4 linked regions of the Saccharomyces cerevisiae S288C genome follow. Changing the gene in region 4 together with the main gene of any one other region gives a genetic interaction. Each region holds a gene or a part of one and is shown on either strand. Other genes may lie near its edges. The genes, in order: RAD9, RTT103, CKB2 and DUN1.

Evidence for each region.
Region 1: mutations in DUN1 (region 4) and RAD9 together harm fitness more than expected from each alone (negative genetic interaction), as found in Saccharomyces cerevisiae (8 studies listed by BioGRID, with this or other methods).
Region 2: mutations in DUN1 (region 4) and RTT103 together harm fitness more than expected from each alone (negative genetic interaction), as found in Saccharomyces cerevisiae (5 studies listed by BioGRID, with this or other methods).
Region 3: mutations in DUN1 (region 4) and CKB2 together harm fitness more than expected from each alone (negative genetic interaction), as found in Saccharomyces cerevisiae (7 studies listed by BioGRID, with this or other methods).

What each region holds. Positions count from the first base shown.
Region 1 is NC_001136.10:895,353-905,102, forward strand, and holds RAD9 (chromatin-binding protein RAD9), read right to left. Parts: upstream 8,129-9,750; coding exon 4,199-8,128; downstream 1-4,198. Other genes in the region: DNA-binding transcription factor ADR1, read left to right, coding at 1-3,654; septin SPR28, read right to left, coding at 8,429-9,700. UniProt on the Saccharomyces cerevisiae protein: Essential for cell cycle arrest at the G2 stage following DNA damage by X-irradiation or inactivation of DNA ligase.
Region 2 is NC_001136.10:1,035,401-1,042,767, forward strand, and holds RTT103 (Rtt103p), read right to left. Parts: upstream 4,110-7,367; coding exon 2,880-4,109; downstream 1-2,879. Other genes in the region: MGP12 (Mgp12p), read right to left, coding at 1-175; inositol monophosphate 1-phosphatase INM2, read left to right, coding at 595-1,473; Smc5-Smc6 complex subunit NSE3, read left to right, coding at 1,795-2,706; HRQ1 (ATP-dependent 3'-5' DNA helicase), read left to right, coding at 4,328-7,367. UniProt on the Saccharomyces cerevisiae protein: Involved in transcription termination by RNA polymerase II and in regulation of Ty1 transposition.
Region 3 is NC_001147.6:403,973-407,044, reverse strand, and holds CKB2 (casein kinase 2 regulatory subunit CKB2), read right to left. Parts: upstream 1,278-3,072; coding exon 501-1,277; downstream 1-500. Other genes in the region: HIR2 (Hir2p), read left to right, coding at 1,657-3,072. UniProt on the Saccharomyces cerevisiae protein: Regulatory subunit of casein kinase II/CK2.
Region 4 is NC_001136.10:279,807-283,388, forward strand, and holds DUN1 (serine/threonine protein kinase DUN1), read right to left. Parts: upstream 2,043-3,582; coding exon 501-2,042; downstream 1-500. Other genes in the region: DNA-directed DNA polymerase delta POL3, read left to right, coding at 1-359; guanine nucleotide exchange factor GET3, read right to left, coding at 2,306-3,370. UniProt on the Saccharomyces cerevisiae protein: Transducer of the DNA damage signal. Phosphorylates SML1 on serine residues. Cooperates with the PAN deadenylation complex in the regulation of RAD5 mRNA levels and cell survival in response to replicational stress.

The sequences.
Region 1 (9,750 bases), 620 kb from region 4:
GAGGTTTGTACGAGAGCGTTCGCAAGACAAGAGCACTTGAAAAGACATTACAGATCGCATACAAATGAAAAACCTTATCCCTGTGGCCTCTGCAACAGATGCTTTACTAGGAGGGACTTACTGATCAGGCATGCTCAAAAAATCCATAGTGGTAATTTAGGGGAAACGATTTCCCATACCAAGAAAGTGTCGAGAACTATAACTAAAGCTCGGAAAAATTCTGCATCCTCAGTCAAGTTTCAAACTCCAACCTATGGTACTCCAGATAATGGTAATTTTTTGAATCGCACTACTGCCAATACAAGAAGAAAAGCAAGCCCTGAAGCTAATGTTAAACGTAAGTACTTGAAAAAACTGACGCGCAGGGCTTCATTTAGCGCACAATCAGCATCCAGCTATGCTTTGCCCGACCAATCTTCGCTAGAACAACATCCAAAGGATCGTGTTAAATTTTCTACGCCTGAATTAGTTCCACTTGACTTGAAGAATCCTGAACTTGACTCTTCGTTTGACCTGAATATGAATCTAGATTTAAACCTAAATCTAGATTCCAATTTCAATATAGCATTAAACCGTTCTGATTCTTCTGGATCAACAATGAATTTGGATTATAAATTGCCCGAATCAGCAAATAACTACACATATTCTTCCGGCTCACCAACCCGCGCATATGTCGGCGCTAACACGAATTCTAAGAACGCTTCATTTAATGACGCAGACTTATTGTCGTCGTCGTACTGGATAAAAGCCTATAATGATCATTTGTTTTCAGTATCTGAAAGTGATGAAACTTCTCCAATGAACTCTGAATTAAACGACACTAAATTAATCGTCCCAGATTTTAAATCGACTATACATCATTTGAAGGATTCAAGGTCCTCCTCTTGGACTGTTGCTATAGATAATAATAGCAATAACAATAAGGTATCAGACAACCAACCTGATTTCGTCGATTTTCAAGAACTGCTGGATAATGATACTTTAGGTAATGATTTGTTAGAGACCACTGCCGTTTTAAAAGAATTTGAACTTTTACATGATGATAGCGTAAGTGCTACCGCCACGTCAAATGAGATTGACCTTTCCCATTTGAACCTATCAAACTCTCCAATTTCTCCTCATAAGTTAATTTATAAGAATAAAGAGGGGACCAATGACGATATGTTGATTTCTTTCGGACTCGATCATCCTTCCAATCGCGAAGATGATCTGGATAAGCTATGTAATATGACCAGAGATGTTCAAGCCATATTCAGTCAATATTTGAAAGGAGAAGAGTCTAAACGATCCCTGGAAGACTTTTTATCAACGTCAAACAGGAAAGAAAAGCCAGATAGCGGCAACTATACTTTTTATGGGTTAGATTGTTTAACGTTATCGAAAATATCAAGAGCTCTGCCGGCCTCCACTGTGAACAACAATCAGCCATCGCATTCCATAGAATCAAAGCTATTTAATGAACCAATGAGAAATATGTGCATTAAAGTGCTTAGATACTATGAAAAGTTCAGTCATGATAGTAGTGAGAGTGTCATGGACTCTAATCCAAACTTGCTGTCCAAAGAATTGTTAATGCCAGCTGTGAGTGAATTGAACGAATATTTAGATCTTTTCAAGAATAATTTCCTTCCCCATTTCCCTATTATTCACCCAAGCTTGCTTGATTTGGATTTGGATAGCTTGCAACGATATACTAATGAGGATGGGTATGATGACGCTGAAAACGCGCAGTTGTTTGATCGATTAAGTCAAGGGACAGATAAAGAATATGATTACGAGCACTATCAAATCTTGTCCATTTCGAAAATCGTTTGTTTACCCTTATTTATGGCCACATTTGGTTCTTTGCATAAGTTCGGTTACAAATCTCAAACAATAGAATTGTATGAGATGAGTAGAAGAATTCTACATTCTTTTTTGGAGACTAAAAGAAGGTGTCGCAGTACAACAGTAAATGACAGTTATCAGAACATTTGGTTGATGCAATCCCTAATATTGAGCTTCATGTTCGCTCTAGTTGCTGATTATTTGGAGAAAATTGACTCCTCTTTGATGAAAAGGCAATTGTCCGCATTATGTTCAACGATCAGATCAAACTGTTTACCGACAATTTCTGCAAATTCTGAGAAGAGTATCAATAATAACAATGAACCTTTAACATTTGGTTCTCCTCTTCAATACATCATTTTTGAGTCAAAAATTAGATGCACCTTAATGGCTTATGATTTTTGTCAGTTCTTGAAATGTTTCTTCCATATTAAATTCGATTTGTCTATAAAGGAAAAAGATGTTGAAACCATTTATATTCCCGACAATGAGTCAAAATGGGCCAGTGAATCGATAATATGTAATGGGCATGTTGTGCAAAAGCAAAATTTTTATGATTTTAGAAACTTTTATTACAGTTTCACGTATGGACACTTACACTCAATACCAGAATTTTTAGGGTCATCTATGATTTATTATGAATACGATTTAAGAAAAGGAACCAAATCACATGTGTTTTTGGATCGAATCGATACGAAAAGGCTAGAGAGGAGTCTTGACACTTCTTCCTATGGCAATGATAATATGGCAGCAACCAATAAAAATATTGCGATCTTAATTGATGACACCATAATTTTGAAAAATAATTTAATGTCAATGAGATTCATCAAACAGATTGATCGCTCGTTTACTGAGAAGGTTAGAAAAGGACAAATAGCAAAGATATATGATTCCTTTTTGAACTCTGTGAGGTTGAATTTTTTGAAGAATTATTCAGTTGAAGTATTGTGTGAATTTTTAGTAGCGTTGAACTTTTCAATCCGTAATATTTCGTCTTTATACGTAGAAGAAGAAAGTGATTGCTCCCAAAGAATGAATTCTCCAGAGCTGCCAAGGATCCACCTGAATAATCAAGCGCTTTCTGTCTTCAATTTACAAGGCTATTACTATTGCTTCATCCTAATTATCAAATTTTTATTGGATTTTGAAGCAACTCCAAATTTTAAGTTACTGAGAATTTTTATTGAGTTGAGAAGCCTTGCGAATTCTATTTTACTTCCCACACTTTCAAGATTGTATCCGCAAGAGTTTTCTGGATTTCCTGATGTTGTATTTACGCAACAATTTATAAATAAAGATAATGGTATGCTTGTCCCTGGTTTATCCGCAAATGAACACCATAATGGTGCAAGTGCAGCTGTTAAGACTAAGTTAGCCAAAAAGATCAATGTTGAAGGGCTTGCAATGTTTATTAATGAAATCCTAGTTAACTCTTTTAACGATACCTCTTTTTTGAATATGGAGGATCCTATTCGAAATGAATTTTCCTTTGATAATGGGGACAGGGCAGTGACAGACTTGCCTCGTTCAGCACATTTCCTATCGGATACCGGCCTAGAAGGTATTAACTTCAGCGGCTTAAATGATTCGCATCAAACTGTTTCTACTTTGAATCTTTTACGTTACGGGGAAAATCATTCATCAAAACATAAAAATGGTGGAAAGGGGCAAGGATTTGCCGAAAAGTACCAATTATCTCTGAAATATGTTACTATTGCCAAGTTATTTTTCACCAATGTTAAAGAAAACTACATTCATTGTCACATGTTAGATAAGATGGCAAGTGATTTCCACACTTTGGAAAATCATCTAAAGGGAAACAGTTGACGATTATGTCTCGTTGCTGATATGTGTCGTCCCAGTACTCAACTCTTTCTGATGAGATTTTGAATATCTCATTTTATTTCTCATCAAACAGCCATGCATGCGACTGAAGTGGACTACTGCGGGAGAACACCGATCTTATCTTTGAAATTGTTGCACAAAAATATTTCACTACCTTGGCGTTTCTCATCTCACCCATTGGGGTGAATCTCGTTATTGCTCCTTATTTTGGTCCATTTTATATTAAATCCTGTATCATGTTTAACATTTTTCATCTTATACCTCATACAAAAAAGAAAAGCTATTTATGAAAGTTAGTTCATTACAAGATGCAAGCCTAAAATATATGCTTGATCTTAAAATTCATGTATAGAAGAAAAAGACCTTACCAACGTTGTTGGTTACCGTGTATAACTAATACCAATCTTGAACATTAACCACTCCTGGCGTGTGGGAGGATGTTCTTAGACTTAATTAAGAATCTCTAAATTTTTTTTTATTTAATCGTCCCTTTCTATCAATTATGAGTTTATATATTTTTATAATTTCATCTAACCTCAGAAATAGTGTTGTATATATCATTGTCCGTAATATCATCGTGAAAACCAGTGTCCTCGTTAATTATTGTCTGAATTAGCCATTCTTTAGATTCAGTGTGAAATATGTAATTAAATTTCTTAAATTTCAGTGATATTTGACTTCTCAATCTTTCGAGAAGCTTCATCTGAGATTTACCATTATTTTCGTTAGCATATATGAGAAACTTTAACTTTCGATTAGATAATTCTGATCCTATTCTGGGTACTAAAGAATCTAAGGCATTTAACAATGGCTCTGTATCATCTACATCAATATTGGGTAAATCAATTGTAAGCATTCTACCTGCGCTCAAACATGCAAAAGCAAATTTGACAAAACTGTCCAACTCAGATCTACCCCAAACAATAACAATGTAGTCATTTAACATTTTCTTCACTCCACATATCTGATCTCTTAAATTAGATCCGCGTAAGAATTGTGTATAAAATGAAAAAATATTGTTGGATTTAATGATTCCTCCCTTTGATGGAGAATCTAACGATAACCGAAAACTTTCACCCGAAGGTAATAGGTATTGGTATATTAAATGTGGTACTATTCTTTTCTTTTCAATGCATGCACTTATGAATTTCCAGTGTAGTGTAGGCCACCCCAACGCCAAAGTTTCTAAGTACTTTAAGCTTCTTAAATGCCGTTTTGTGATTAGGCAAGCAAATCTGCAGTCTGCAAATAGGGAATGAGGTTTCCAGGCTAGCTTCAAGGCCAATTCTCGAATATTATCTGTATTACCTTTATTGACTAAAGATTTAGCTAGCGGATGAGTGAAGTTAAATAAAGTGGAAAATCCTGACTCAATTACAGTGCCGCCTTGCGATTCAATGGTCTGTCGAAGTTCCTCTCTATTTTCGAATAGGCTTGTCAAAACAAAAATACATTTATCAAATACATTCCCTGTTCTGATTTCACCAGAAGAAAAAAGCAGGCTTGGCGCTCCTGCATGTTCAGCTAATGCGTCTCTAGAATCCTTTTTAACAATTTCCTTCTTTTCGGAGCTCGATTCTATTTCGTTATTGTACACTTCAGTATGCGTATTTATGTCCTTTTCGTCATCAGTATGTTTCTTCGGAGACAGAACATTGGTCATTGATTTCCTTCCCCTAATGGGATGTCTCAAGTACCTATACGCGTCGCCTTTATTTTTCTCATTATCTTCTAATATGATCTTCGCTCTTTTAGCCCACTCGCTTAGGTCAAGACTGATCGAGCTTAGTGCTTTAATTAACGTCCTTTTCCCCAACAATCCGCTTGCATTTTTTTTTTTCAAATGAACCGTATCATATCCTCGAATACATCTTATTATGTTGAGATCATGGCTACGACATTCTAGACCAACGACTACGTACTCATTTCCATCAAAGGTAACAGCATCCCCTATTCTAATATCTAAGTAGTAGATGTCCTCATCTTTGGTTAGCGATCTTCCTGTTTCGAAATAAATCCAACAGCCATCTTGATTAGTGTCAACTTCCAATAAAATACCCGGATAAAATTTGTAATTCCACGTATACTGACACCATACCGCATTTCCAAAAATTATGTCGTCTTTCGATAAGAAACTATTATCTGCCGTTCTAATACCTTCAGGAAACACGTAAGACTGTTCTTTAGAGTCTTTGCCCGAACCTGTCTCCCCTGTTTGTATGGTAATGCTGCAAGACGGTTCCCTTTTGATAGAAGCAGCATCCAAATCTGAATTTCTTTTGAGGTGTTTTGTCGGTGATGTCTTAGTGCTTCTGTTCTCCTCCTCTTCACCGATCTCTATTGTATCTTTTTGACGTCGCTTTATTGTTCTTCGGTTCTGAATAATCTCCTGTGACTCACTTGGAAATAATTGCATGAGGTTTTTCTGAAGTTCTGAGCTCTGTCCTTTGCTTTCGTGTTCAATCAAAGCTACATCCAAAGACTCTGTGCCATCTTGTTTATCTGAATTGCATTCTTTATTATCATCATGAAGCTGAAGTGAGTTCCCCTTGCTTTTTTTTATCTCCATTAAAGTTTCTTCCTCGACTACCAGCTTTTTTGGAGACGTTTGAAGATCTTGCTGCTCTTCAACTTCAGGCAGTTCTTGGGTTAGTTCAACCTCGCTCATGATTGTACTTTCCTTTTTCGTATCAAGCTCATTTGGGGACATACGTTCTGTTTCATCACTTCCTGAATCAGATATTTGCTTTCCTGAAAGTTGTAAGTATATTCTATCGGTTATTTCCTTTTGTTCGTTGAAATCAGATGAACCGGCTATGATAATGTCATCTCTGGTAGCTGCATTTGAAGAATTTTGTATATCGTTTGAAAAAACATTGTTTGTCTCTACTTCTCTCTCGTGTATATTAAATGTATCTTTTTCCTTCGGAATAGGTGAAGAATTCGAGGGTTTTGACATCGTATTCTTAGATGGTGAACTAGTCTCAGGAACTTCCAATATGGGTTCAAAATTAATCCGAGAAAGAGTAACGGGAGTTTCAAAGGTTGCATTCAAAGCATTTTGTTCAGGAGAATTTATTATTTGGGTTTTTATTTCTTCTGTCTGGCCAGTAGAATGAAAAACAGGTCCCTTCTGAGCAGATATGCCTTGGGAAAGCGATGAAACAATTATCTGTGTCTCTAATTCATTATTTGTTTCGGTATTGAAACTTTTAGATAAGGGTTGCGTATCGATTGAAATACTATCTAAAGGCATTTCCTGTGTTCTTGGATTATTGACTATTTGCGTAGATCTATTGCTATTATTTTCCGTTTTGTCTTTTGAGTATCGGAATATCCACTTCTTGGATGGTTCCCGATTGTTTACACTCTCACTGGAATACATTTCTTCTTCCGCATTGTTGCGTGAAGGGGTGCCAGACACAGCACTATTAATATCGATATCTAAATTGTTCACGTCATTCTCTCTACCCGAAACATTCAGATTCTTTTCCAATTCGTTAATCTCCTCTGATTCATTACTTTGTATTATTTGATTGTTCCGTTCTCTGAGATCATCTGATGAATAGTTCTCACTTTTCTTTTTTACTGGATTTTTTTCCTCGATAGCTCCTATGTTATCTTCGTTATTGTTAAAAACCTTGTTTACATTTCTTGTGGTCCGGCCATTCCCGGTAATTTTGTTCTTGTCATAAGAGCTTATCGAATTAGGTGATTCTGCTGATATCATGATTTGAGTTTTTTGAACTCGTTCATCTTGCATTCCTCCACTTTTACTTAATTCGTCTTTATATCTTTTAGGTGTAACAATTCCTTCCAATGCACAGTCATAATTATCAGCAGAACGTTCAGCCATCTGTACAAAAGTGGCATCCGCCTCTGTAACTTCTAATGACGCATTTTCTTCTCCATCATTCTGCTCTCCATAATAGCAAAACCCAGTATCTGACTTCAACTTTTTGAAGGTTTTCTGTTCCAATGGATCAGTTGGAGTTTGAAAAGTCATTTTTTTTCTTAACATCAGAGGAGTGTCTTCCAGATCGGAGCTTTGATATTTGGTCAAAAGATTTTCTTTACCAGGGGTTCGATTGCTTTTGAAAAAGTTAGCAATTCGGTCAAGGTCAGGAGTCCTTTCATTATGCAATATGTTAGCATTTGGTCGATCATTATCTCCTACTTCAATATTTAACTCATCATCATGTCTTGGACTCTCGTCAAGTAATCCCAGAGATTTTTGAAATATCTCACTTGTATTCATAAACTTGACAGGATTTGGATTTGCTTTGGGACTTCCTTCGATTATGTTTGTGCTATTTACCTTGTTTTCCAACGGATCAACGGGAACATTCATTTCGTTCATGTCGCCATCAGCCAAGGGAGAATGCAGTGCTTCCTTTATAGCGCTTTGGGTGACTCGATCTGGAGAGCTTTTCCATTGAACTAACTGGCCTGACATAGCCCTGATGTTGAAGATTTTCTCACTATGCTCTTTTCTATGGCGTTTCTCTATCTTGCTCACTTCACATTGCTCATCGTTGCAAATATCCACGAACAAAAATCCTCGCGTGTTTAATCAGAACTGCACTCTGAAAATTCAAAGCCGTGCCAGTAATAAGAAAGACACAAGGTTATATAGAGACACATCGAGAAAGTATATTATAGATTAAAAAAATTTTGCCTTATACTTTAGTGCACTTGAAAAAGCAATAAAATTTTATTTCATATGTATCTAACGCTAACAAGGCCGTATATTTATTTAGACCTTATTTTGATGGGGAGCTGCCAACATTTTCTCCAATAAATCAATCTTCCTTTGATAGTCTTCAATAATTCTGTTTTTTTCGTCTATTTCTTTGTGTATTTGATAAGCATTTTCATCGTTTGTATCTGGATTCCCAAGTGTTCTACTTGCACTATTTCTTCTGGTGGAAACATTGCTGACACTTCCCCTTGAGGTTTCGTCGATATAGCTATAGTTTGGAATATCATAGTTGTTTTTCTTCTCAGTTAACACTTTAGCCCTATAATTTTCATACAATACGTTGTTTGTTACATCTTTTAATTCCTGAAGGTGAGAACCTAACAGTATTGCTTTTAAGTATATAAAATCGGAGGTGTTTTGGTCTTCGACCACCAAGCTACCCCATTCGTACGTTCTGATATGCTCAACCCTATTTTCCGAATTTTTATTAAAAGTTTTGCTGCAAACAATGGCAAATGGCGATATTTCCTTGATCTTCGTGTCATTATCGTATTTGGATTTTGCTGAACTGGAATCGATGTCCATATCGTACAGAGCTAATGTTTCGCCTAGGGTGTCACTTTTAAAATCAAAAACACGTATATTGTTCTGAGAGATTTCTTGGCGCACAATGTCTTTGTGTAAATTTAATTCAGTTTCTGTGAGACCATCGGCTTTTGGAATAATGGGAATTAAATTAACTTTATCACAAATCGTTTTCATTAACTCAATATCAAATTTTTTGACTCCTCTTGGAGTACTCTTCAGAAAGTATAAACAAACATGAGGCCTCCCATCAGTTTCTTTTGTGTTTCTCTTTATTCTGACCTCTTCTTTTAAAACATTTGCAAACTGTTGGTCTAAGTAGTTTTTTATAACAACAGAGCTTTGTGAATTGTCGACATTGTCACCGCAGCCTGGAAACAATATGATATCTAATGTTATGGGTACGCCTAGTTCATCGTTCAAATACACTCTTCTGGTGACAAGCTTCAGCCCAGGACTCAAATGGGCTGTTTTATATCCAGGATCTATATCTTCGATGGCGTTTCCATTTTCTGGTGTTACATTATTTGTCACTTTATCATCATCATCATCATAATCCCCATCAGAAAGCGATATATCCTGACCGCACAGATTGTTTAAAAACGTTGATTTGCCGCTGCCTTTTTCTCCAAGTAACAAAATTGACAACTGCAGTCCTTTCTTGTAACCCTTGCGACGTCTTAACTCATCTCTGCTGAGAGTATGTTGTTCAAGAGCTGAGTGATCTTTCATTGGGAACATTTGATTATTTACTGACTTTATGTACGTATAGTAGCTCTTTTTTTGTATCG
Region 2 (7,367 bases), 760 kb from region 4:
TCTCTAGTGAAACTGCTTTATTATGAAATTCCTTTCTTTCAAATACATCATCTATCACTTCCTTTGCTTGATCGCATAACCCACAATTAGGCTTTGAGAAGAAAGTTAATTTCACTCCAGCATCATGTAACAATACCCTCGAAGTATGTATAGAACAGCGGAACGCTCTCAACATGGTGATATGTTCCTTAAGTTTTATGTCTTACTGAATAATTACGAATTTCTGTTATGAATTAAACGAAACTTTACAATGCATCAACTCCGAACTCTCTACGGAAAGGTAACAACTTGCGCACATCATAGACCCATAAAGCGAAAAAAAGGGAAGTCAATCACAGTTATATTGACATTCCAAAGCCAGTAACTAAAAAACTACAAAAATGGATTCTCACAGTCATATTAAGTGACCTCTTATTATTTCCCTTAAAACGGTAATTCTTAATAAAGAACGTCAGTGTTCCGAGTGATAACGCCGTGAAGCACCCTGCTTCATTACATATGAAATCGTGGGGAGAAAAAATCGTGAAAACAATATAGAGAATAAGTGAAGTTGAAGCTCCACAAGCCCTTGTAAAGTAAACTTAGATTGAAGCGATGGTATTAACGAGGCAAGTACTAGAGGAAGTGGAGAACACATTTATTGAATTACTTAGGAGTAAAATAGGACCTCTCGTAAAATCGCACGCAGGAACAAACTTTTGTTCATATGATGATAAAGCAAATGGCGTAGATTTGGTAACTGCTTTAGACAAACAAATTGAATCTATAATCAAGGAAAATTTAACGGCCAAGTATCCCAGTTTCAAATTTATCGGAGAAGAAACTTATGTAAAAGGTGTCACGAAAATAACTAACGGCCCTACATTTATTGTTGATCCCATCGATGGTACTACTAATTTTATTCACGGTTACCCCTATAGTTGTACATCTCTAGGTTTAGCTGAAATGGGGAAGCCGGTTGTTGGTGTGGTTTTCAATCCTCACTTAAACCAACTATTCCATGCTTCCAAAGGCAATGGAGCTTTCTTAAATGATCAGGAGATAAAGGTTTCAAAAAGGCCATTGATTTTGCAAAAATCCTTAATTGCTTTAGAAGGAGGTTCGGAAAGAACTGAAGGTTCCCAAGGAAACTTTGATAAGAAAATGAATACTTATAAAAACTTACTAAGTGAGTCCGGCGCCTTTGTTCACGGGTTCAGAAGTGCAGGAAGTGCTGCCATGAACATATGCTACGTAGCGAGCGGCATGCTTGATGCTTATTGGGAAGGTGGCTGCTGGGCTTGGGATGTTTGTGCCGGTTGGTGTATTCTTGAGGAAGCAGGAGGAATAATGGTTGGCGGAAATTGTGGAGAATGGAACATTCCATTAGACAGAAGATGTTACTTGGCTATTAGAGGTGGATGTGAGTCGATGGAGCAGAAGCGATTTGCAGAATCGTTTTGGCCTCACGTTGCGGGTGAGTTAGAATACTAAATGCCCCCCTCAGGTGTCGTTAAATAAGCTACATCTAAGAAAAGTTTATATAGTACTTCACGCAATTCCTACTAGTATTTTTTTCCAGTACAGGACGATATCTTGAAGCAGCAACTTGATTTCACAGGTCACTTAGTGTGGGCTTCTGACTCAAGAATAGCAAGTATTACATGCATGCGGCCCTCTCCTTTAACAGCGCGATATACGTGAAGAAAAATTTCAATGAAGAGTAATGCGCTTATTATCAACTTCGATTGAAGGGGTCCTATATCAGTATGCTACAAGGGAAGGTTGTTCGATAAACATAAGCTTCTCATTAGCATGAGTTCTATAGATAATGACAGCGATGTGGATTTAACAGAAGATTTAGCCGTGGCCAAGATCGTTAAAGAGAATCCTGTAGCTAGAAAAATGGTTAGGTATATTTTATCGAGAGGAGAATCTCAAAATTCGATCATAACAAGAAACAAGTTACAATCTGTTATACATGAAGCTGCTCGCGAGGAAAACATAGCAAAACCGTCTTTTAGTAAAATGTTTATGGACATAAATGCTATACTGTATAACGTATATGGGTTTGAATTACAAGGATTGCCGTCAAAAAATAATATGAACGCTGGCGGTAATGGAAGCAATAGCAATACAAATAAATCAATGCCTGAGCCACTGGGACATAGAGCCCAGAAATTTATCTTGCTAAACAATGTCCCGCACTCAAAAAATTTTGACGATTTCAAGATTTTACAAAGCGCTCACACTTATGAAGAGCTAATAGTTACCGGAGAGTATATTGGTGACGATATAGCTTCAGGAACTTCCAATACCTTAGAAAGCAAGTTGAGTACAGATCGAGATCTTGTTTACAAGGGTGTTTTGAGCGTCATTTTATGCATTGTTTTCTTCTCTAAGAATAACATATTACATCAGGAATTGATCAAATTTCTAGAGACATTTGGCATTCCAAGCGATGGTTCAAAGATTGCTATACTGAACATTACTATTGAAGATTTGATAAAAAGTTTAGAAAAGCGCGAATATATAGTCAGATTGGAGGAGAAATCCGATACCGACGGGGAAGTGATATCATACAGGATAGGTAGAAGAACTCAGGCTGAGCTTGGACTAGAGTCTCTTGAAAAATTGGTGCAAGAAATCATGGGCCTTGAAAAGGAGCAGACTAAAAGTTTGCACGATGATATAATAAAAAGCATTGGCGATTCATATTCTATATAGCATTGCATAGGTGTCCATGTAGTTTAGGTGCGCATCTTTTTTGTCGAGGAAATAGTGAAGATGAATACGAAATAAACTATGGGCAAATAGTTACGAAAAAAGACTGGACTTAAACGGGTTACTATATATTTGTATAAGTTATCTCCTTGTTTTCTTTTTACTCAACCATCATATTAATTTGCAAGCTTACTTAACAAGTCTTGTATACTAGAAGAAACCCCTCCGGAATTCTCAACACCTTCGTCGGTTTGGGCGCCGACGTGGCCTTCTATATCTAACTCATAATGTCCATCCTCACTGTTGAAAGTACCATCTTCACTCGTCTTCGAATCAAGATGAACCTTTTTTTCCGGTATGTCATTAGCGTCATCATGACCTATCATATCATGTGTTCGTTTCATACCAAATTGATTGTCACTAGGATTATGAGTAGAGTTTTTATGTTCGCTATCTGTCTTTTCTACAACTTCATTCTTCTTATCTGTGGTGCTAATATTAGTAACGCCATAATTGCTGTCATTGGATCTATCATCGTAATTTTTGTCATCATCATCATCATCATCATCATCATCATTATCACCATCATCGTCATCGTCATCTCCATCCCCCACTTCATACGTAGGAATAATATTGTCTTCATCAACGTTTTTATTTAATCTGGATGGGTCTTTAGCAGATAAAACGAATTCTATTTCACTTAACATATTCTGTTCCTCATCTAGATGCCTTTTTTCATCGTCCAGTGTGCTTTGCAGTTTATGGATACCGCTTTCTCTTTTTAGAATTGATTCATTTATTATATCTTTAGCCATGTTCCCAATCTTACTTATTGTTTTAAAATTTTCCTCGTAAACTGAGCTGGATGGATCCAATTCATCTGATGATTTGTCAAATCTCATTTTCATCGCGCAAACATTATGGTGCATTTTCACTAATTTTTCATAGTCCTTAGCAAAATCTTTCAATTTCTGGGGTAACACCAACGCTTCCACTGGTGAGCTCTCGGTTTTAAGACTTCTTTCTATGTCATTGACTACCTGCTTGGAAAATATATTTCTTTCTTTTAGTATATTCACAACTCTTGACAACTTCTTTTTTAGGTCCCTCGGAAACTCTTGATTAATTCTTCCCAATACTTCTGCTGCCACCTTTCCAAAGGAATCTTGAAATTGAATAATTTTTTGACCTTTAGCCTGTTGAACAACATGATTCATTAAGTAAAGACCCAATAACTTCCTTCTTGTGTTTACACTAGGCCTTAACATGTATTCTTTCCACATTTCTGCCACTTTGGGAGCATCTCTATACTGTAGAAGCAACCACTTTGAGGCACTGGAAATAGATTCTTGGGAATCTTCCAACGTATTTAATTTGGTTGTGAATTGCTCAGAAGAGAAAGGCATACCGTCTATTTTAATCTTGGATTATTGCTTTCTTCAAATTTTCTACCTCTTCGTTAAAACCTTCTTCGCTTGTACTTATATTATTATGTTGGCTTTTCAAGTTTATATATTTTTAAAGGAAAAAAATAACTTTTTCATTTTTCGTTATAAAACAGAACCGTTATACATATTGAGATGGTTAAGGTCGTAGAAAAGAAATGTTCATTTGAGAAGGAAAAATGGAGGAAGGACCTATCAAAAAGAAACTGAAGTCAGCAGGTCAAGGGAGTGGAAAGACCGATGCCTTTAGAAATTTTGAACAATTTTTTTTCCGCCTTAATACTCTTTACACCTTTTTGATTTGCAGAAAGCATGTTGTGCCTACATTTAAAACACTTTGTGGACCTATAGAAACTGCTTTGAAAAGAACTGTGACGAAAGAAGACCTAGCCATGGTTATGGCGCTAATGCCAAGAGAATGTGTTTTCAAGTATATTGATGAGAACCAAATTTATACTGAAACTAAGATTTTTGACTTCAATAATGGCGGCTTTCAGCAGAAGGAAAATGACATATTTGAACTGAAGGACGTTGATGACCAAAATCAGACTCAAAAATCTACTCAGTTACTTATATTTGAATTTATAGACGGTACAATGCAACGCTCATGGTCTGCAAGTGATAGATTTTCTCAAATAAAGATACCAACATATACTACGGAGGAAATGAAAAAGATGATTTCTAAAAGGGAAGCTCTCTTTAAATCCAGACTACGGGAATTTATCCTGGAAAAGGAAAAGGCTAACCTTGACCCATTTTCTGAGTTAACAAATCTAGCGCAGAAATATATTCCAAGGGAGAGAGATTATGAGGATCCTATTGAGGCAATGATGAAGGCGAAGCAAGAAAGTAATGAGATGAGCATTCCCAATTATTCCAATAATTCAGTGATAACAACAATTCCTCAAATGATTGAGAAATTAAAAAGTACTGAATTCTACGCTTCTCAGATAAAGCATTGTTTTACAATACCATCAAGAACAGCGAAGTATAAAGGTCTCTGTTTTGAGCTTGCACCGGAAGTATATCAGGGTATGGAACACGAAAATTTCTACAGCCATCAAGCAGATGCGATAAACAGTCTTCATCAAGGCGAAAACGTCATTATTACAACATCGACCTCTTCAGGTAAATCCCTTATTTACCAACTAGCAGCTATCGATCTTCTTTTAAAGGATCCTGAATCAACGTTTATGTATATATTTCCAACAAAGGCCCTGGCACAAGATCAAAAAAGAGCATTCAAGGTAATACTTTCAAAGATCCCCGAGCTAAAGAATGCCGTGGTTGATACGTATGACGGCGATACGGAGCCAGAGGAAAGAGCTTATATTCGTAAAAATGCTAGAGTTATTTTTACCAATCCTGACATGATACATACCAGCATTTTACCTAATCATGCAAATTGGAGACATTTTTTGTACCATCTAAAGTTAGTGGTGGTCGATGAATTGCATATATATAAGGGTTTATTTGGATCGCACGTGGCATTAGTGATGAGACGTTTACTAAGACTGTGCCACTGTTTTTACGAAAATAGTGGTTTACAATTTATTTCATGTTCTGCAACTTTAAAGTCTCCAGTACAACATATGAAGGACATGTTTGGAATTAATGAGGTTACGCTAATACACGAGGATGGCTCACCTACAGGTGCTAAGCATCTAGTGGTGTGGAATCCTCCAATTTTACCTCAACACGAACGTAAACGAGAAAATTTCATTAGAGAGAGTGCAAAGATATTGGTACAATTGATATTGAACAACGTAAGAACCATAGCATTTTGCTACGTTCGTCGTGTTTGTGAATTGTTGATGAAAGAAGTTCGCAATATTTTTATTGAAACTGGGCGTGAGGATCTGGTTACAGAAGTCATGTCTTACAGGGGTGGTTATTCTGCTTCCGACAGACGTAAAATAGAACGTGAGATGTTTCACGGAAATTTAAAGGCTGTCATATCTACCAATGCTCTAGAACTTGGTATTGATATCGGTGGACTAGACGCAGTCTTGATGTGCGGTTTCCCACTATCAATGGCGAATTTTCATCAACAAAGTGGTAGAGCTGGAAGAAGAAATAATGATTCTTTAACCCTCGTGGTTGCAAGTGACTCGCCTGTTGATCAACATTATGTTGCTCATCCAGAATCCTTGCTGGAGGTTAATAATTTCGAATCTTATCAAGATTTGGTTCTTGATTTCAATAACATTTTGATACTGGAAGGACACATACAATGCGCTGCTTTCGAACTGCCAATAAATTTTGAACGTGACAAGCAATACTTTACTGAATCTCATCTTCGCAAAATCTGTGTTGAACGCTTACATCACAATCAAGATGGGTACCACGCCAGTAATAGATTTTTACCATGGCCGTCCAAGTGTGTATCTTTGAGAGGCGGAGAAGAAGATCAATTTGCCGTAGTGGATATAACAAATGGAAGAAATATAATAATTGAGGAAATAGAAGCATCCAGGACTAGTTTTACTTTATATGATGGCGGTATATTCATTCACCAAGGCTATCCCTACCTTGTGAAGGAGTTTAATCCTGATGAAAGATATGCTAAAGTGCAAAGAGTAGATGTTGACTGGGTAACCAACCAAAGAGACTTTACAGATGTAGATCCACAGGAAATTGAACTTATACGCTCTTTAAGGAATAGTGATGTTCCTGTTTACTTTGGTAAGATCAAGACTACAATTATTGTATTTGGCTTTTTTAAAGTAGACAAGTACAAGAGGATCATCGATGCCATCGAAACCCATAACCCTCCTGTAATAATCAATTCTAAAGGATTATGGATAGATATGCCAAAATATGCCTTAGAAATTTGCCAAAAGAAGCAATTAAATGTAGCAGGAGCTATTCACGGGGCGCAACATGCAATTATGGGTATGTTACCGCGATTTATAGTGGCGGGTGTGGATGAAATACAAACTGAATGCAAAGCTCCGGAAAAGGAATTTGCAGAACGTCAAACTAAACGAAAGCGACCAGCTAGATTAATATTCTATGATTCCAAGGGCGGTAAGTACGGGTCTGGCTTGTGTGTTAAAGCGTTTGAGCATATTGATGATATTATAGAGTCTAGTTTAAGAAGAATAGAAGAATGCCCATGCAGCGATGGATGTCCTGACTGTGTAGCGGCTTCTTTTTGTAAGGAAAACAGCCTGGTCCTGTCGAAACCTGGCGCCCAAGTCGTTTTGCATTGTATTC
Region 3 (3,072 bases), on a different chromosome or scaffold from region 4:
ACCAAAGAATGAGTAAATCTCCTCTTTTCAGTACTTCCAGATTAGTCTTCAAACAGCTTTTGAGTTTTTAAAATATAAACCGCCTCTTAGTTCATAGGCAGTCTCCACGCGATGCCGCCACTTCTCCAATTTCTTGATAAATAAGGATGCTTCCTACATTCAAAGATTTCAAGCTATTCACTAAAATAACACCAATAATTCGTGGGTAACCACATTTGCAAATTGTTGATATATAACAGGCTAACTTCGGAGCACGCTCTTTTATCTGGTTGTATTATTGCCGTAAGGGGCAATAACGGTATATAAAAATTTAATATTAAATAGGAAAAGTAAAATACGAATGGAGGTAGAAAATAGTAATATTCTAGGAAAGAAAATGCTAGGAGAACAAATGATACCTGATTTTCACAATTTTATGACGAAGTTTCTCCATTATTTTCATTTTCGTTTTCAATTTCGCCTAGGATTTCATTTCGAATTTTTTCTTCTTTCTTTAATAGTTAGGTTTTAAAACCACCACTTTTCGTCAAATCAACATCTTTGGATTCAAGTTTCTCAACTAACTTGAGTCGTTGTAGTTCTTGCCACCTTGTCAGTTGAGCTTGTTTATGTAATTCAAATCCAAATATTTTTGGAACATATCTTTTAGTTGGGTGTTTGGGTACCATATCTGGAAATGCTTGCAAAAACATACCTGGAAAACTTGTTCCAAAGTATGCACCATCAATGGAACTATGTCTCGATGATTTTGGTATATAAAGATCCTCACAAGATGGACAATATAACTTGACACAATCTATACCAGGAATGTCATGCAAACCAACCGGTAACAACTGTTGTAAATTACAATACACACGGGGACATCTTCCAAAGTCCGCCTCTTTGTACTTAGCGTACATTTTTTGCAATCCTTTGATAGTTATAATGTAGCGTGCATGGATGAGACCATACAGCTTCCGGGAATCTGATTCTAATTGTTCTAAACGGGCATGTGTCATATTCTCTAGGATACTATCATCCAAATCATCCACAATATATTGTACCACGTAGGAAAATTTTGAAACTGTCTTTTGCAAGTTCATCAGATTAAAACGATCAGTGATGTACTCAGGATCGACATCACAGAAATATTCATGGCCTTTTCTCCCAAGAAATAAATCGATCCACATATCCACGTATTCCGATGAGTCAGAGTCATCATCCATGAGGACATCATCTTGTTCCACTCTGGAGCCTTCTCTAGTCACTGTTCCCACATTCTCCGATCTACTGCCCATGATCTGCTTTTCTATCAGTTCTCTAAGTCCCTTAATCTTGAATAATTTGAAAAAAGCTAGTATTTCTCAAGTAAAAGATTGATGAAAAAATACAGCAGGAAAATTCCACGTATCTGGAATGACCAACTTCTTTAAGAATGTGATTTACTTATTCTATTTGGTGCTTGTTTTCATTTGATAAAGGATTGCCAATACACCTCCATTTATTCGCTTTCATATTTTTTCTTCCTGGAAGGTCGACAAAAAAAAGCGCGAAAAAAATATCAGTTAATTCGGCTAGAATTATGAAGTCTTCATAAAACAATATACAAAAAGTGCTAAATCGTCCATACAGAGGAATACGCCACGCAGCAAAGGAGTTCCTACACAATCCGGAACAATGAGATTATTAAAGTATCCTTTGGATATTCATAATGAACAAGTGAATGCCTTAGCTGCCCTTGGTCCCTATATCATATTGGCAGGCAGTGGGGGTCACGTGATGGCGTGGAGACAACAACAACTAGTCGATACTGCATTCGATAGGGTTATGATTAAGGATTTAAAGCCAGAAGTTTCTTTCCAGGTGGATCAGGATACTACCGGTGATATTTTTTTCATAACAGGTGATCTCGAAACATTGTATATTGGATCTGAACATCGTCTGTGGGGTTATTCAGGTTGGCTCTGTAGAGATACAAATAACATCAATTCTGTCGAAAAAATGAACAGTAAGCTTCTGTTCGAGTGTAAATCTCCAAGCACAATAACGGATGTGAAATATGACATAAACTTAGGTATCTTATTTGTTCTTTTAAGTAATGAAAATAAGATACTATTATTTCGGCATAAAACCTTTGATAAACTCTCTGAAATAACTATTGACAAGGCGAGCAAACCTATTACAGGCATAATAGATCCTACTGGCCAAACTTTTACTGTTATGACTTCAGATAGATCAATTTTAGTCTATCAAATTAACAAAACGGGTACACACAAACTCATAAATAAACTTACGCAGCATGTACAAATGTATCCATTACATTATAGAATCTCAATGTCACCTCAGGCAGACATTTTACCAGTGATAAACTCGGTGAAAGGTGTGCCGAATAATGCTACCAGCTGTACCGCTTTACTTGACAGAAATAACAACTACAAAGTTACAAAAACACTGGTAACACCTTCTTCAAATGGATGTAGAGTTCTTGTTTATTCTCCAGCATTTTATGAAAAGCCTAATTTGAAAAAGGGCACCAGCACACGCTATAATTTAATCGCCACTTCGGGATCTACAGACGGTACTATTTTGGTTTGGAATACGAAGAGAATGAAACCTTTGTTTAATGCTCTCCAGGTTTCCTCCACCGCAATAAACGATATGTCTTGGTCACAGGATGGGTTCACCTTGTTTGCCATTTCAAACGACGCGACATTGTATACATTCGCATTCCAAGAGAAGGATTTAGGTGTAGCATTGCCTCAAACGGAAATCAAATCGTTACAAGAAGTAAACAAAAAGCTTCCAAAGCTTGAAGAGCCGTTAGCAGAACAAATACCGAAAAGTTTCCCAGAAAACATCAAATTAGAAGAATCTGCAAGCGCAGCACCTATTCCAAACGATATTGGTAGATCTGCCGTGGGCAAGAAACCGACCAAAAAAAAAACGGCTAACAATCAAACTAATGGCATCAAAACTATCCAGAGCACATCAATGGAATTCAACACTCCATCATACACTGTGCCAAGGGATTTGAAGAGAAAGCCAAAAGAGGCAACTCCAAGTAACATTGCCCCTGGCAGCAAAAAGCAGAAA
Region 4 (3,582 bases):
CGAACGGTATGTTCGTTGTGAAATCCATTAAAATTAACACAGGCTCTCAAAAAGGAGGCTTGATGAGCTTTATTAAAAAAGTTGAGGCTTGTAAAAGTTGTAAAGGTCCGTTGAGGAAAGGTGAAGGCCCTCTTTGTTCAAACTGTCTAGCAAGGTCTGGAGAATTATACATAAAGGCATTATACGATGTCAGAGATTTAGAGGAAAAATACTCAAGATTATGGACACAATGCCAAAGGTGCGCTGGTAACTTACATAGTGAAGTTTTGTGTTCAAATAAGAACTGTGACATTTTTTATATGCGGGTTAAGGTTAAAAAAGAGCTGCAGGAGAAAGTAGAACAATTAAGCAAATGGTAAAAAACGATAGGGTGGCACATCATATTAGGATTAAGAAAGGCTAACAACTTTTTGCATGTTGGTGGATATATATGTATATATAAATAGATACTTGGAAAAATCCAGATTCAAACAATGTTTTTGAAATAATGCTTCTCATGTTTAGAGGCAAGATAATTCTGAGTATGTTTTGGGTATTTTATTGTCAGTAATTTGTAAACGCTGCAATTCTAATGAGACCGAGCTTTGTTGCTGTATGTCATTGAACCAAGGGTGGTTCAAAGCTTCATCTATATTGTACCTTTCATCAGGATTTAGGACCAAAAGATTGGATATTAAATGTAGTACTGAGTCATCGATTTTATCCCAGTACGGAGAGTAAAACGCATACTTAGCTTGTAAGATCTGTTCCTTCAATGAAGGTGGCCCCAATTGATCACTGAATGGAGGAAAACCACATAAACAGACATATAATATGACACCAGCACTCCAAAGATCTACTTTTGATGTGTATCCTTTCTTTGTGAGGACTTCGGGCGCTACATAAGAAGGCGTACCACAAAGTGTGTTTGTGAATTGCATTTCTCCTGTAAATTTTGCTAGGCCAAAATCCGCTATTTTAACTTGAATATCAATTTCATCTTCATCCCATGGGCCAAGTTGGACTTGACTTGGATTTTCGCGCCTTGTTATATTTAATAAGATATTTTCTGGCTTGATGTCTCTGTGAATGATGTTTTGCTCATGCAGATACTTCAATCCGGTAAGTAACTGTTTGAATAGAGCTTTGGATTCATCCTGTCTCAAACATGTTTTTCTGACGATTCTTTCAAATAGTTCGCCATCGTCGATCTTTTCCAGTACCAAATATTTTTGAATCTGAGATTTGCTGATTGGCTCTACAAAACTATCTAGTAAGTTGACAATGTTTGGATGTTGCACTCTCATTAGGATGTTAGTTTCCTCCCTAAATTGTTTATTCTTTTTTTGGTCGTCATTTTGCTGAGCGTGGAATATTTTCACAGCTACTTGCTGACCAGTTTTTTTGTTTTTGGCTTCTTTCACCAGGGCGTAGTGCCCTGCACCTAATTCTTTACCTAATAAATATTTATCAAAGAACGACACAGGCCTTGTCTTATTCAGTTTTCTAATTGCGGCACTCGTTGTAGCATTTTGGCTACTTGTAGCACTTATTTGCGGTTTCTTGAAAACTTCGTCGTCGTTCTTATATGAACGACTTTCTGAACTTACCTTTTCATCGTCATTTTCGATGTCAGTAGAAGATGAAGATGCGTACTTGAACAAAAAGGAGCAACTTTTGCCAAAGACAATTCTGTCACCATTCTTAAGGATGTAGTCTTTCTTCACCAAACGATTACCATTAATAAAAGTTCCGTTTCTGCTCTTATCGATAACATTAATCAAATTTCTTTGGAAATTATCCACATCCATTTGCAGTAGATGAAACTCAGCATGGAAAGTCGAGATGTCAGGCTCACTCAATATAACGTCGCACGACCTACTTCTACCGATTGTAGTAACGTTTCTATTTGTTATTTCCACTTTTTGCTCCTTTCCGGGTATTAAGTTCACCAGATGGCCCAGACAAGTGTATTCTGAGCTGGGCTTATTACTTCGTTGCTGTCTTTTGAATGAAGAGTCAGTTACATCACCAGAGTGCTCTCTTTTCGTGGACAAACTCATCTTCACTATAATTGCCTTTTTTACTGTATGTTAAGCCCCTTTACTTGTTACTCTCGACTATAAAGGGTTCTCATTTCCTCCTTTTTCAACAATATCTAATAATTTTCCAAAATCATTTGAAAAATACCATGGAAATAAAATGGAAAAAAGTAAACAAACGCGTCGCGTCACGTAATTTTTTTCTTTTCACACACATACCATCGTATTACTATTTTTTCTATGGTTATATGTCGTATGTATCTATTTATGGTATTCAGGGGCTTCTATTCCTTATCTTCTAACTCATAAATGACTTTGCCATCAGTAATAGGGTTATATTCTTTGTTTAGGAACTGTGAGAACTTTGTTAAGTTATTTAAGCCTCTGATTTCTCCAGCACATAATGGCATTTTAACGACATGGAAATCTTCGTACAATTCGTCGATTTGGTCCAAGTACTTCTTTTGCATCTTCCATCTTGCCTGACATCTCTTACAGTTGTGCTCTTGATCGTTTTCAGCAAATAATAATTGGTTGACAATGATGGAATTAACGTCCATATCGTAGGAAATCAATTCCTGAATTAGTCTTTCAGTTTCATATAAGGATAAGAATTCACTGATACAAACGCAAACAAAAGTCGTTAGGTCAGGATCCGTGAATTGTTGTCTGATGGTCTCGACATTAGCCTTTAACTCGTTCAATTTTCCAGAGATATCGACATTACCTGCGCCCATAAAAGAGTTTAGCATTGGGCCCAATTTGTTGGTAATTTCACCGAACTTTTCCAAAAGCTTGGATAAAGTATTTGGTAGTTGTAGAAATCTTAATGTGTGGCCAGTTGGAGCAGTGTCAAAAATAACAGTATCGAAGGTTTCACCTTCGCCCTGTTCTTGCCTTTTAATGTGCTTCATGACTTCCATGAAGGATAAAGCTTCGTCGATACCAGGGATGGAACCGGTCAAATCAGCAAGAGCACCACCTTGAAGCAAGCTTCCTAGATCGTCACCTTGACCGTCACTTCCGTTATTGTTAGCGCGTGAAACTGCCATGTCGTTCATATCCTTCAAAGCAGCGGATGGATCGATTTCCATACATGATAGATTATTCATGCCTGTCACCTTTCTGGCGTCTTTACCAAATTTCTCACCGAATGCATCACTTAAGTTATGGGCAGGATCAGTAGAGATCAGTAGGAACTGTTTGTTTGGTTGACTCAAAGCCATTTGGATAGCAATGGAACATGATGAAGTAGTCTTACCAACACCACCTTTACCACCAACGAAAATCCACTTATGAGTGGTAGAGGTAATTAAAGAGTGCAAATTAGGTTCCACGGTTAAATCCATAATTACAATGTGATGATCTTCTTGTTCTTGTCGTACGTTTTCCTAAACGCTGCGTTGGCTTCCCTCAACTTGTTTGAAGTTGCCACCGTTTTATCCATTTTCGCTTTTGAAAAAAAAAAAATGGTTGAGAATCCCCAGCACTATTAATTAGTACTATTGTTACGAAGATCTTGTGATAAAAAAGGGATGTAATAATTTGCATTGAACCAACC